2 linked regions of the Drosophila melanogaster genome follow. The protein of the gene in region 1 purifies or fractionates together with the protein of each later gene. This does not show direct contact. Each region holds a gene or a part of one and is shown on either strand. Other genes may lie near its edges.

Region 1 (7,751 bases):
ACCTGCGGAAGAATCGCACATCATAATCGGAGTCATTAATTTGCTGATGATTGACTTACCGCAAAGTGACCGGGATTGACGGAGAGGGCAACGCGCACCTCGAAATAGGCACCCACTGCCGGAATAGCCTCGTAATCCTTGAGCATGAGAGACGAAAAGGTGCTGCCGGTCGATCTTGCGGATGGTTTCTTCTCTGGCGTCACCGGGGGAGTGGTAGCGACAAGGTCGCTGCTGCTGCTCTGATTCGAGAACACGGAGCTGAAGCTACCGCGTCTGGGCAGCTGGACATTGGAGCTCAGGAGCGTATGATCATACTTCTCCGGATGAATGGAGCTGTGTGGGTGGGGAATCAAGGGTGGGGCGGGAACAAGCCAGATTGGGGGATTGGGAGGCAATTGTTGGTTTCAAGGTTTAAAAAATCTGATTGCTTTCGGGCTTATTGGGTAGTAAAGTACATATGTGTGGCAGCTTAAGAGTATATTTTTCAGATTATATACAAAGATGTGCATGATTTTAGGGTAAGCTTACAAAACGTAGATCGAATTTGTGTTAGCAATAACATATCAAGTCAGTTCCGGTTTATTGAAGCACTTATAGAGATAGCATTAAGCAAAGGATCAATTATATTGTTAATATAAACTTATAGGGCACCAGTCACAATTCAGATGTCGTTGTTTAGGGAGCTTGATGACGATGTGATTAGATGACATTGACCATAATGATATAGAATGAATAGACATTGTACAAAAGCTTCAATAAAGGCACTTACCTAGCCATCTCGAGCTCCAGGCGAAGGCCAATGTTCACGCACATATACATGGACTCCGGATCCTCGCGGATGAATACGTTTACCAGAGGCTTACCACCATCCATGGCCACAACCTTCAGCTGCGGGAGAAAATGGTGTTACGGATTCGACAAGCTTTCAAAACATCCCTTTCATATAAAACACTTACGAGAGCTTCGGTGCGCCAAGGTATCAGACCACGCAGGCGATGAAGCATATGACCTCCGATCTCTGGAACGTCGTGCAGGCGAACGGGTATCGCCTGTGGCGGGAACGTAGCCAGAGCTCTGTTGTTTGCCTCCAGGCGGTAGATATTAGAGATGTGCGCCTTACGCTGCCGTCCATCGTCCACGTAGTAGACATCGAAGGACTCTTCGTCCGGATTCAGTGGTCTGGTGACCAGTCGCCCGCGGAACCACTGCTTGACGCCATCGACAGTCTCGTCGCACACGAATATATGGCGGTCGTGGAGCAGATCCGAATAGCTCACTCGGTCCTGCTCGCCCAAATCAGCCACAGTTTGCGCAATACTGCGCTCCACAAACTTAAGGTCATCATTGCGTAGCAGCACCATTAGATCACCATCATCGTTGATGTGAGACACAAGAATGGGCGTGGTCTTGCCGATCTTCTTTTCATCACTCAGCGATGGTGCCGGCGTGCACTTCGTTATTCTTTTCGCAACCAGATCGTTCAGATGAATGTCCTCAGCCGTTGAGGTGTCGTACAGCGTGGCCACCAAGCACGCCCGACGCTTACCGTTCTCCACCACACCCTGGGCAGATCCACCCAGTTCCAGGAACTGCTTCTCCGTGGTGAGCACATGGGCCACAACCGTCTGGCCGTCCAGCTCCTTTGTTAAAACCTGCAGAGCGTGCGGATGATCCTCGAACTTATCCAACGCATACATGCTGAGGCACACGGCCTGGGCCGGGAGCGCCAAGAACTGCGGTGGACAGTGGAAGAGATCTTCTGAATGAAACATTGCCACATCGCCAAAGTCGATAAAGTGATAACGGCCCGAGCGGGTCTCCTCATCCACAGAAATTGCACGAACACGATTCCAGCCATCGGGCATCTCCACTAAATAGACTTCCTGAGCGTAAGGTTTAGAGACCTTTTGTCGGAAATGCGGAGACTCCATTTGGCGTCCAATATGCTTCGTCAGTTCCTCAAAGTTTGCGATCTGATCGATCATCCGAGCCCACACTATCTTGGTGGAGTCGCAGAAGCTGATGAACATGTTCCAGTCGTGCGATCCTCCTTCGCTTGACTGCCACGGCAGCACCATCTGTGGCAGGGTGGTTATGCTGGTGCGGTCCGGCTCCGATGAACCAGGATCGTTGGCAAACAATATGATCCTTGGATCAATGCCGTGCTCAACACGAATTTTATTTGACTTCACGATCAAATCGTACCAATGACTGGGCAGATGTTGCCGGAAGGTGCTGCCGTACCAATCCTCCAGCTTGTGACCCAATATGCCATGTGGGTGCTTTAACAGCTCCTTGTACAATCCATCGATAAACTCCACATCGCTAAATGTGCAAGCAGAAAGCTTTTGGTGTGACTGGGCATGCATGATGCGCTGGATGGCGATCTGTGCTGTGCGTTGGTATGCTGTCTCCTTATCGGTGAACTCCTGCGGATAGCTACTGTAAACATCGCCAGCGATTTGCACTGAACAATGTAGGTTCCGTAGCTTGTTGAATATGTTGTATGCAGGTTTCTCAAAGTCATTTGCCGCGCAATAGAAGTTGAGCGTGGAGACGGGATCAAGTGAGGGATCGAATTTAAGTGGCACCTTAACTTTTGGATTTGTAACGACATTGCCTGTTTCACCTTGACCTCCGTGGATATCTTCTTTGTACGTCGCTTTAGCGGCGGTTGTCGTTTGAGCGTATTCCGGCGAAGCTGGCGGCGTGATGGGCGCTACCGCTGGCGTGGGTGCATCCGATTGCGGCGTTACTTTCAATCTGTGATTCACAGAGACGCCCGTGGTGCGCTGGTGACCAGGGTACATTACTCGCGGATGACGTGGCCGCTTGAATGAGGATTCAGGGCTGTGATAGACGGTGCTTGTATCTTGCTGGCGCTGCGAAGCACTGTTGCCCAGTATGGCACGCAGCGGAGGTTTGCCGTCATTGTGTTTGTCTTGTCCGTTAGCCACTTTAACGTGCCTTGGTCCATGTCCATTCATGACTGGTGCCTTTTTGTTCTCAATTGTTACGAAGATCGTTTCCGTCACAGCCCGATCGCGGGTTTCTTTTTCCTTCTGTTTTTCCCTAGCGACTTCCTTCGTTATTTGACCACGATCTAGATCGTCTTCTTTCTTAAGCTCTTTCTTTCGCCTTGTGATATATTCTGGATTTTTGTTGAAAACCTGCAGGTTTTCCGAAAACGGACCTTGAATATTATTGAAACTTTCAAACAGCTCTTGGGTTATGATGCCCGTTAGATCTTGTTTATGCTCGGCTATAGCCTGATTCTCACACTTAGCTGCTCTTCCTATTTCTTGATCCGGCTGATGATTCGGCTGCTTATTCCGTTGCTGGTAGTGGTACTTATTGCCGTGAGTGTGCTTCTGGGCAATTGGCTTGGGCTTCTGGGCAATTGGAGTGGGCTTCGATAAGCTTGTGGACTTGCTGGTCTTCTGCTGACGTACCATACGCACAATATGTTCTGTGTTAGCGTTATACTTCGCTGTGATGAACACCTGTTGCGGGATAGATGTGAAGGTAATTAATTTTGAAACTCGCATTATGCTGCATATTATGCTACTTGTATTAAATGCTTATCTGTTTCCCTAATATCTGTATGTATATAATATATATTAGGTATATTAGGAGAACTTAAGATGTAAATCCTTTTGACAATCTTTCTAATGCATAAGTTCCGGTTATTGTATACGACGACCCTTAACCAGGAAACCCTACACTGTATACATGAGCTACCACTTCTAGAAAGGGGAAAGTGGCTCTGCTCGAACAACTCTTGAGTTTGGAAATCCAATATGCTCCATTTAACTGAAGAGTCAGCTATTTTACAGCCAAGCCCAGTGAGTCCACTTAATTGTTTGGAAATCCGAGTGGATTGAAGAAGTTGAGTTTTTGTTTATGATTCACATTGAGTCGAGCTGTTTCGCTGCTGCAATCATCTTTATAGGGTCACAGCGATCTGGATATGGGCAGGGGGTTTTCAAGCCCCAAACGTGATAATGGTGCAGAGCGAGAGCTCGGAATGCTAGATACAGAATACATAATTACAATTAAATGAATAACACTCGTTCGTTTGGCTCGTCTGATTATTGATTTGGCAAGCAATGCAAAAGCGTTGGCCGGAAGAGCCCGCCCATCCAAACGCCCACTTTCGCCCACAGGTGTGGAGGCAGACGGCTAAACAAGAATAATGCACACAGTTCAAGTGCAATACGGCCAGATGGGGACTGGCATTTATAGAGAAAAAATCAAAACATACGACTGACGAACGTTCGTTCACTTTCACCATGCAAACATGCAATCGCATACGAACGAACACACAGGCAATTTGAAATTGCTGGCCTTTTCGATTTTCGCGTTATACACTTTTGTTTTCGACTGTCGTTGCACTTATTAAAGCAAAGCGCTTAATCAGCACGCATTTGTTTAATATGTACAAGTGTACCAGGCGAAATCGAAACTAGACTAAGTAAGATCCATTGTTTACACTTTTCACGGCGCAGATGAAAAGAAGAAGACGCCGTTGACACGTTGCCCCTTCAGCGGCGGGCGGCCCCTTTTCGACGGAGAGAGCGGGCGGGAACGGTCCGTCGAGCGGTCGGTCACACAGAGTGAAGCGGTAAGGTAGCAGCGCAGCAGCAGCGGCTCACCGCACGCGTTCAGCCAGAGAATCGAACTGAAAGCGGTGGGCGCCGCTCGCGAAAAGCTCGATAGTCAGCGGCGATGACCACCTGTCTAAGTTAACGTCAGATCTAGCGGTTTTTATGGCCATATTAGTAATTACAAACTCTCATTAAAGGTGAAATCAAAACGGAACTAGCTAACCATCTCCTTTTCCTAAATTCAGTAACACTGATTTCTTTAATTCCAGTATTCTAATTAATTAAAATACATTGAAAAGAAAGTAAAAAATATCTAGCTAGTTTTAGCTAACAGCTATGGTGACACCAGCAGAGAGCAACTCGAAAGCTGCGCACGTGAGAGAGGCACCCAGAGAGCAAGCTCAGGCGAAGTGGGCAAAAGAAAGCGGTTAAAGTGGGTGGAAGAGAGCCGCTCACTCCCTGACATTTGCGATATGCAATAATTCGCAAAGAATCTTGCCAACAATTTAGGCAACAGGCGTAACAATTGGAAGGACGGAGATGGCACTTACCTGATTACCGCTTTGGTGAAAGTTGAATTGATTCGAATCCTTAAGCAGCTCTTGGTCATTCGAGTAGCCCAGCCTGCGAAAGGGTATCGGCTCACCCTCAATCTCCATGTAATCTGCGACGATGGACCGCAGCGTAACCGGCGGCTTAGCTGACGTGATTAGGGCCCTGACCACCTTGGCCACGTATTCCAGGACCTCCTGCTTTTCCATTATGATCGTTCCACGATTCTGTCGAAGAGAGCGAGAGGCGGAGAGAGGTTAACCCATTGAGCATGATTCAAGTGGCGTGGAATGCGTGCGCCCACCGCCACCCCCACTCCCAAATCAGCAACAATTAAGCATGCACAGAAAAAAACAACGCGGCAAAAAGAAATTTCTAATATACTATTTCTAAACTATAGGGTCTAAAGGGTTGAAAGGGTCTAAATTATTCTGCAAACATTGAGTTGCGCCTGTTCCGCGTTATTCTTTCAGTGTGCACAATAAAATTGGCAAACACAGGGCTAGAAAAATAAGACGGACAAGGGGCAAAAAATAAAGAGAATAGAGACGAGAAAGAGATGGACGAAAGCGGCGGCGCAGACGCAGAATTAAATTATTTTGATCTATATTTTAGAATTTGATTTCGTTTGTGCAAATACAAAGAATGTGTCGTAATGCGATATTGTGAGTTTTCTGTCCTTACCAAACTATTAAACAATTAATAAAAATCGAGTCTCAGCAAGATATGCACTGCAAACTGCATAAATGAGACTATTGGGGTTTTCCTGAGAAATGAATATTCCGATGATCCCGAACGAAGTTCCTTTTAACACAACAATACGGGAGTTCATTCTCGCTTGACGTTTCTAAAATTTTCGGCGCCTTCTAGTGAGACCGTGGGCTGGATGTCAAAAAATACGTCAAGTGGCATATAAATACGAAAAGCTATAAGCAAGCACTGTCTTAGGGTTAACGTATTGGCGCCAAAATTCAAACTTCTTATTTTTAAAATATATTTAAGTGTTGAATAAATGTTTCAATAAAACTCTGTTAATATTTATACAAATGACTTAATAAAAAACTCCTGCAATGGGTAGCTTTTTAGTCTGTGTCTGCTTTTCCATAGCGTACAACTTGTGTTTTTTCTTCTTTCTTGGTCTCAATTCAAATGTATTGCCTGGATGCAGTTCATCATCGCTTGTGCCCTCCAATTGAACAGCATTCATTTGTGCTCGCGGCGACGAGCTAAGAGAATCCTTTCTGGGAAAGGAGGACATTGGCTTGACTACCACGCTCAAGGCTTCCAGATTGATACGTCTGTTGTCGTCGGAGGTTTCTGGTTCCAAAGGAGTAAAAGGCTCCATGGAATTTATGGACTTCAGTGGCTTTCGAGGCTCCTGAAAAGGTTCCAGGCGTGCAGCAGCCGCCGGAGCAACCTCAAACCTCTTTGGCTTCATTGGCCTCCTTAGCTTCATCTGCTGCTGGTGCTCCTCCCACACCCGATCCTGCAGTTTCAACTCCTCCTCCTTGGCCACTGCCAAGTCGTACAAGCTCTCTTTTTGGCTCGCTGGTCGAATTCCAAAGGAAAATACCCTGGATGGTGGCCTTGGCTCGGGTTTTTCGATACGTTCAGACGTCTTTGTTGTTGGTTCTTTCTCTTTAACGTGGTTCTCCGATACATCGTCGTCCGTTGAGTGACTTAGCAGTTCCAATTCCAGGTAGTTGAGATTCTTGAGCACCGATAGGGCATGCTGCTTGGTGGCCAAAATGATTTCCAGCAGCACCTTGGCACCTCCTAGCTTTTGAGATTTCGTCGATATGGGGCACTTATTACTGGGCTTAATCCTTTGAGCAGATGGCTTTCGCGTCGTTGGTGGACGCGAAGGTGCGGAAGGCGGAGGACGAGGTGTTGGTGGAGATGTGGGAAGCGGCTTGAGCGGAGGATCGGATGAGGGTTCCGGAAGGCAGAAAGTGGTGGGACTGCGCGTTGTGGTACTAAGGGTCGTCCGATGAGTCGTAGGGCTTCTTGTGGTGAACCCGTGGGATCGAGCCGTGGTGCCACGACAAGGCCCAGACTTCCTGGGCTGATCGACCTTGGAGCTAATGACCTTGGCCAGCAAATTGGCTGTTGCCACAGCTGGTTTTCCATCCAGCTGCTGGTCGTTTAAGTAGCCACCCAGCACCCTCTTGAGCTCACGATCGGACTTACGCTCATTCAAATGCTCATTGAAGTTCATCCTGGCCAGGGACTCGAAGGGATCATCCACATCCTCCTTACCCAGACAATCATCGTGCATTCCCTGTCCAATGGCGCCGTCATCAATCGGAAATTTGTACAAGTTATCTTTGAGCATCTGGGCGGCAACATTCGTGGGACCAACCAGATAGTGTTCCGATTTCACCTTGCCAGCAGCAGCCATTTTTTCTGGAATTCCCAATTTCTGCTCCATGTCGTCCAGCCGCTGGAAGAGCAGTTCCGGATCGGAGAAGTATCGCTGCTCCGAAGGCGCCAAGTCCCTTCGCTCGCTGCCGAACGGCCGCCTGGGCCACGAGGTATCCGCATATGAGTACCTGCGTACTGATCTTCCTTCGGATCGGTCGGTCGCTTGTC
Region 2 (4,666 bases), 6.0 Mb from region 1:
TAAATGGGGCATAGGCAGTAAATAAATCAGGAAATCAATTGGTATTTAAAGTAACTCTAATTTTAAAGGAAATCCTAAGGAAATCTTCTTTCTAAAGGTATTATTCGTGGCTTATATTTCACTATTACTACTACACTTTTAAAATAGGCTCATTTAGAACTATATTTTCTTGTATTTACATTTATTTAAAGTGAGGATAGATATTGATCTAATTCTAAAATGTTTAAGAACCAATAGCAGAAGTGGCACAGCAGCTCCACATATTTTATGGTCTCGTTTCGGTCATAATTCTGCTCATGACCAATGACAACTGTGGCGATATGTCTGGCGAAGATCGGGCCGAGATCTTCAGATCAAATCGAACCAGCGGCCGTCCTATAACCTGGTGGCATTTGCTGCGGGCCATGCTTCGGATTGTCAGTTAGTCAGTTGGCCAGTCAGTCAGTCAGTCAGTCAGTTAGCCAGTTCGTCTAATTGGATTTGCGCGCTTGTGCGTAACTATAAATCACACACGAACACAGGCAAAAAGATGGAGCCGTGGAGCAGGGACAACCGGTTTGATTGCCAAGTCACCCGCTCATAGCCAACTGCAGAGATCCCATCGAGCTTTTTTCCTCCTCGGCTCAACTATTTGTAAAGTGACCAAAACGGTAACAACAAAAACCACAATAAAGTTGAATGTTGTTGCTGCTGTTGTTCCAGTTCTTGTTTCCCCGCAAACAATATAAAGAATATAATTATGCGGCTGCATAAAAAACCAAGACGTACCTGTATCTACTTACGCAACGCAGAAAATGTGGAAGAGCCGCTTGTAAAATTTACATGGCACAAGGCCCCTTTGCCGGTCGTGTGAAAATTATTAATGGAGTCACTGTCTCCGGACAAGTTCATGTGTCATGTGTGGAAAGTGTTGGGTATACACCAGCACCTTCCCGGAAAAACTCAATTTTTTTGGGCGGGTTTTGAGTTATGATTTATCTGCCCACCGCCCAAGTTGTAAGCGGATGTTGTAACAACCAGCAATTGCAAATCTAAATGGCCAAGTTCTAGGTAAAAAAGTTGTAAATGTCTATGTTAAATATCGAGTCAAAGATCAACTCAACCCGATCCGATCCCAAAAAACATGCCATTTGCCGGTGGTCTTCCATCAAGCCCCACATGTGACATGAACTTACGCTGAACTTGTAGCTTCCTTCAGCTACTTGAGTTTCACGAGGAAGGACGTCTGTCGGTCATATAGAATTACATAAAACAACAGCGGCATATAGAACTTTAACGAAAGCTGAAACCGCCATATGGCTTAACCGGTTTTGAAAGTGGCGCCAATCAGTCATATATGTGTGAGTACGGCAGCACTAAGCTAATGTATTGTTTCGTAGTGGTATGCCAACTTATTAAAAAATAATGAAGTTTAAACGCGGCGGGAAATTTCCGATTGGCAATTTTTATGTCTGGCAGCACTATCCTATCGATAGCAGAAAACCATATTAACAAAAAATTATGATCAAGTTCTCTTAAAAATCGATATTTAATGGTTGGCTAAACTATCGGCGGCAGAATTTAAAATATGACTTTGGAATATCAGATTGTGTTTGTTCTCAGAGTTCCGGAATGCCGAGCTTATAGGCTTATGTAATTAAGAAATCATCCAGTAAAAAAGGAATATACATATTCTTCAGAAATGTTCAGAAAATTGAGTAGTTTTAAGGTATTTATAAAATTAAGCCTTCTCTGGTTCACCTATAAATAACGAAAAAATAAATAAATAAAAAACTTCCCCATGTTCCATATTCCACCGTTCCGAAAAACTATCTCATCGACGCTTATTTAATAACAATACTATTAATTTAAGTTGCTAACGACGCAGCCGTTATCGATAACTGTGTGCAATACTACGTTTACAGTTAGCGTGTTGATTATTTGGAAGCGTGTTAGCGCCTTTTTTGCATGGAATCAGTTCATTCTAATGAACTATAGTGAAAAGAGGGACGTAAATCTGCAAAATCACAAACATTAATTCAGCATGGATGATGGAGGGGAGTTGAGCTTGGTGAAGAAAGTTGTCCACTCGCTGGTGGTGTCCTCACCAGGAAAACTGACCGTTGAGCAGTTGATGCGGGATTACCGCAGCGAAGAGGGCTGCACTTTGCCCTACAGCAAACTGGGATTTAAGGACGCCGAATCCTTTCTCCGATCCATTCCGGATACGGTTACGGTAAGTAAATAAAGTATACATCCAAATGAGCACTCGTTAAGCTACAAGCAATTACCAGGTGACGGGCCACGGACAAATGGCATGGATAACTGCAGTAGCCACTGCCAAATCGGCGCACATTCAGAAATTGGTCCGTTGCCAAAAGAAGTCCAAGAATCGAGGCTCCCACAAACCCAAGTATTGCTACGCCTCCGAGCCATCCAATCTGGTCTTCATTAACGAAAGCGTCTCTAAAATGAAAAACAGAAAAGCGCCGTTCCCAACTTATCAGGTGCCCAGAAATCTGAAACTTCCTGTATCATATCCCAACTATAATCGACTGTTATATCCCGTCCATACGCCTCATATTGACCAAATGATCAGCACCGGACAGCAACAGGTGCTATATAATCATCTGCAGTATAACTTTTATCTTCAGTCGCTGAATAATCCGTATGCCTTTCCGCAGAGTACCCTTAGAACCCAAAGGCCAAGCTTTCCATGTAACGCCAACTCCAAGTCATTGAAAGTTAATGATTGGTCGCAGAAAGACCGAAAACAGGAACCCTCAAAGGAGCGAAACAATCAGAAATATCCTAAAATAACTACTGAGAATAAGCAAGAGAAAGAAACCGAGGAATTGGCCCAAGCTTTTGAAAACCTTTCCGTGGATGTTGCTCCCACTGATCACCAAGAAAAGCTAAAGTGCGAAATATATGAGGATAATGAGGACGAATTCGTGAGAGACCCCTTTATCTATGGAGAGGTTAAAGAGAAAGAAGATGAAGCGGTGGTGCTCGCATTTGACGCCGTTTCCGAGGATGGTTTTGATCTCTTATCGATGACCACAACTCAACAGAATGCTGTCAAGCCCCTGGATCCGCCGGAGGATTGCTTACACTACGCGTCTTCTGACGATGGGGAAGATGAAAATGCCATTCCAGCTTATGCTGTGGTAGGTTATAGCTTGATTCGTCTAAAATGTAATGCTGATTCCGGGCTTTTCTTATAACAGGACCATCGAGTTCTGGACGTGGACTACCCTAGGGATGCGGTTCGTTCTGCTTTCACACTGCCTGCTCGCGATATTGAATCCATTATCGAATTACAGCAGCGCATTAGGGTGCAGTTGGTGAGTTTGGTCAATCCACACAATTTTAACTTCTGGATATATAACGATGACTTTAAAGACTACGAGGCACAGTTTGCCAATATGCAGTAAGATATATAGATATTCATATTAACATTCTGAGAGATATTACAATATTTATTTTCTCCTATAGAACGTTTTATGAAAGTTCGGAATCGAAAAATTACACAATGCCACTGTTTTTGATAACTACGGATCATCTTTGTGTGGTCCGCTGTACGAGTGGCTGGGAAAGGGCCAAAGTATTAGGTTATCGGTCCAGTAACAACAAAATGACGATCGAGGTTGAGCTGGTTGACATAGGGGACATAATCCGCGTGAGCCAACAGAATGTTAAGTTTTTGATCAAGCCGTTTGCCTTGCTGCCACGTCAATGTTTGGCGGGTCGATTGGCGTTTATAACGCAGTGTAAGTCTCCAAACTGGACCGCAGAAGTTGTTAATTTCTTTCACGATATGATATTATTGCGCCTGCTTTACGCCAAGGTCGAAGCTATTAAGGTGAGTCGATTAACTTGTACTGTCTAGTAAAACGTGATATAAATTTCACCTTTTTAGAACAACACTGCCTATCTTGTGCTAGTTGATACGGAATCACAAGGACACACTGTTAATTTAAATAGATCGCTCATAGAAACTGGTTGGGTGCGGCGCTGCACGAGTGCATAGATTTCTATTATATGGATACTGCATTAATTGCTTTAATTACTTTAATGACCAATCTTATTGTTGAGCACAATTCAAATCCCTATTTGTCGAATAGATTGATTATGTTTCCCACAGTATGACTTTAATAAAACTCGTTAAAGTATTATTTTAAGGCAAACGCTGTCCTTCTGCTTTCTTTTTATTAGTTTACGTGTAATAAAATACTAGGTTACATAAATCCTTCAACAAGTCGCTGTCCTTCGCCTGATTTATGCACGAAAGTAAAACAAACAAGGACTCAAAGACGAACCACTTGCAAAAGAGATCTCGCTCGCAACTAAAAGTGGCATCTTGAACGGAAATTCTGAATCTGAATGGAAAATCATGATCTCGCCTGGTGGCAGGCCCGCAATAAATACTTGAAATGTAACTGAGGCGCTTTAACAATTCCCTATAAAAGACAACATTGTCTATGTTTTGTATATATATGTTGTGTATATAGTTGGTTTCTTGTCTGGTTTTAGATTTTTTTCGTTTGTTTTTTTTTTATTTTTTGGTGACCGCTGAAACGACGGCACCCTGAGGTTGGTTTTTAATATATTTTTCATTATGTTTTTTTTTTTTTTTAGGCTTCTCTACTACGTTGTGTGTCGAGTGGTGTTTTGTTTGTTAGTG

What was found. The genes of interacting proteins can lie anywhere in the genome.
Region 2: the proteins of tapas (region 1) and tej purify together in Drosophila melanogaster (affinity purification with western blotting, with the first as the bait; one study listed by BioGRID). This does not show direct contact.

What each region holds. Positions count from the first base shown.
Region 1 is NT_033778.4:20,317,430-20,325,180, reverse strand, and holds the start of tapas (tapas), read right to left. Parts: upstream 6,002-7,751; 5' UTR 5,844-6,001; intron 5,387-5,843; 5' UTR 5,369-5,386; coding exon 5,159-5,368; intron 4,686-5,158; exon of another isoform or gene 4,493-4,685; intron 4,188-4,492; exon of another isoform or gene 4,054-4,187; intron 3,504-4,053; coding exon 957-3,503; intron 889-956; coding exon 770-888; intron 684-769; coding exon of another isoform or gene 662-683; exon of another isoform or gene 464-661; intron 334-463; coding exon 60-333; intron 3-59; coding exon 1-2. Other genes in the region: CG13871 (uncharacterized protein), read right to left, coding at 6,211-7,751.
Region 2 is NT_033778.4:14,299,603-14,304,268, reverse strand, and holds tej (tejas), read left to right. Parts: upstream 1-1,915; 5' UTR 1,916-2,023; coding exon 2,024-2,215; intron 2,216-2,273; coding exon 2,274-2,594; intron 2,595-2,663; coding exon 2,664-3,149; intron 3,150-3,209; coding exon 3,210-3,412; intron 3,413-3,477; coding exon 3,478-3,844; intron 3,845-3,901; coding exon 3,902-4,012; 3' UTR 4,013-4,166; downstream 4,167-4,666.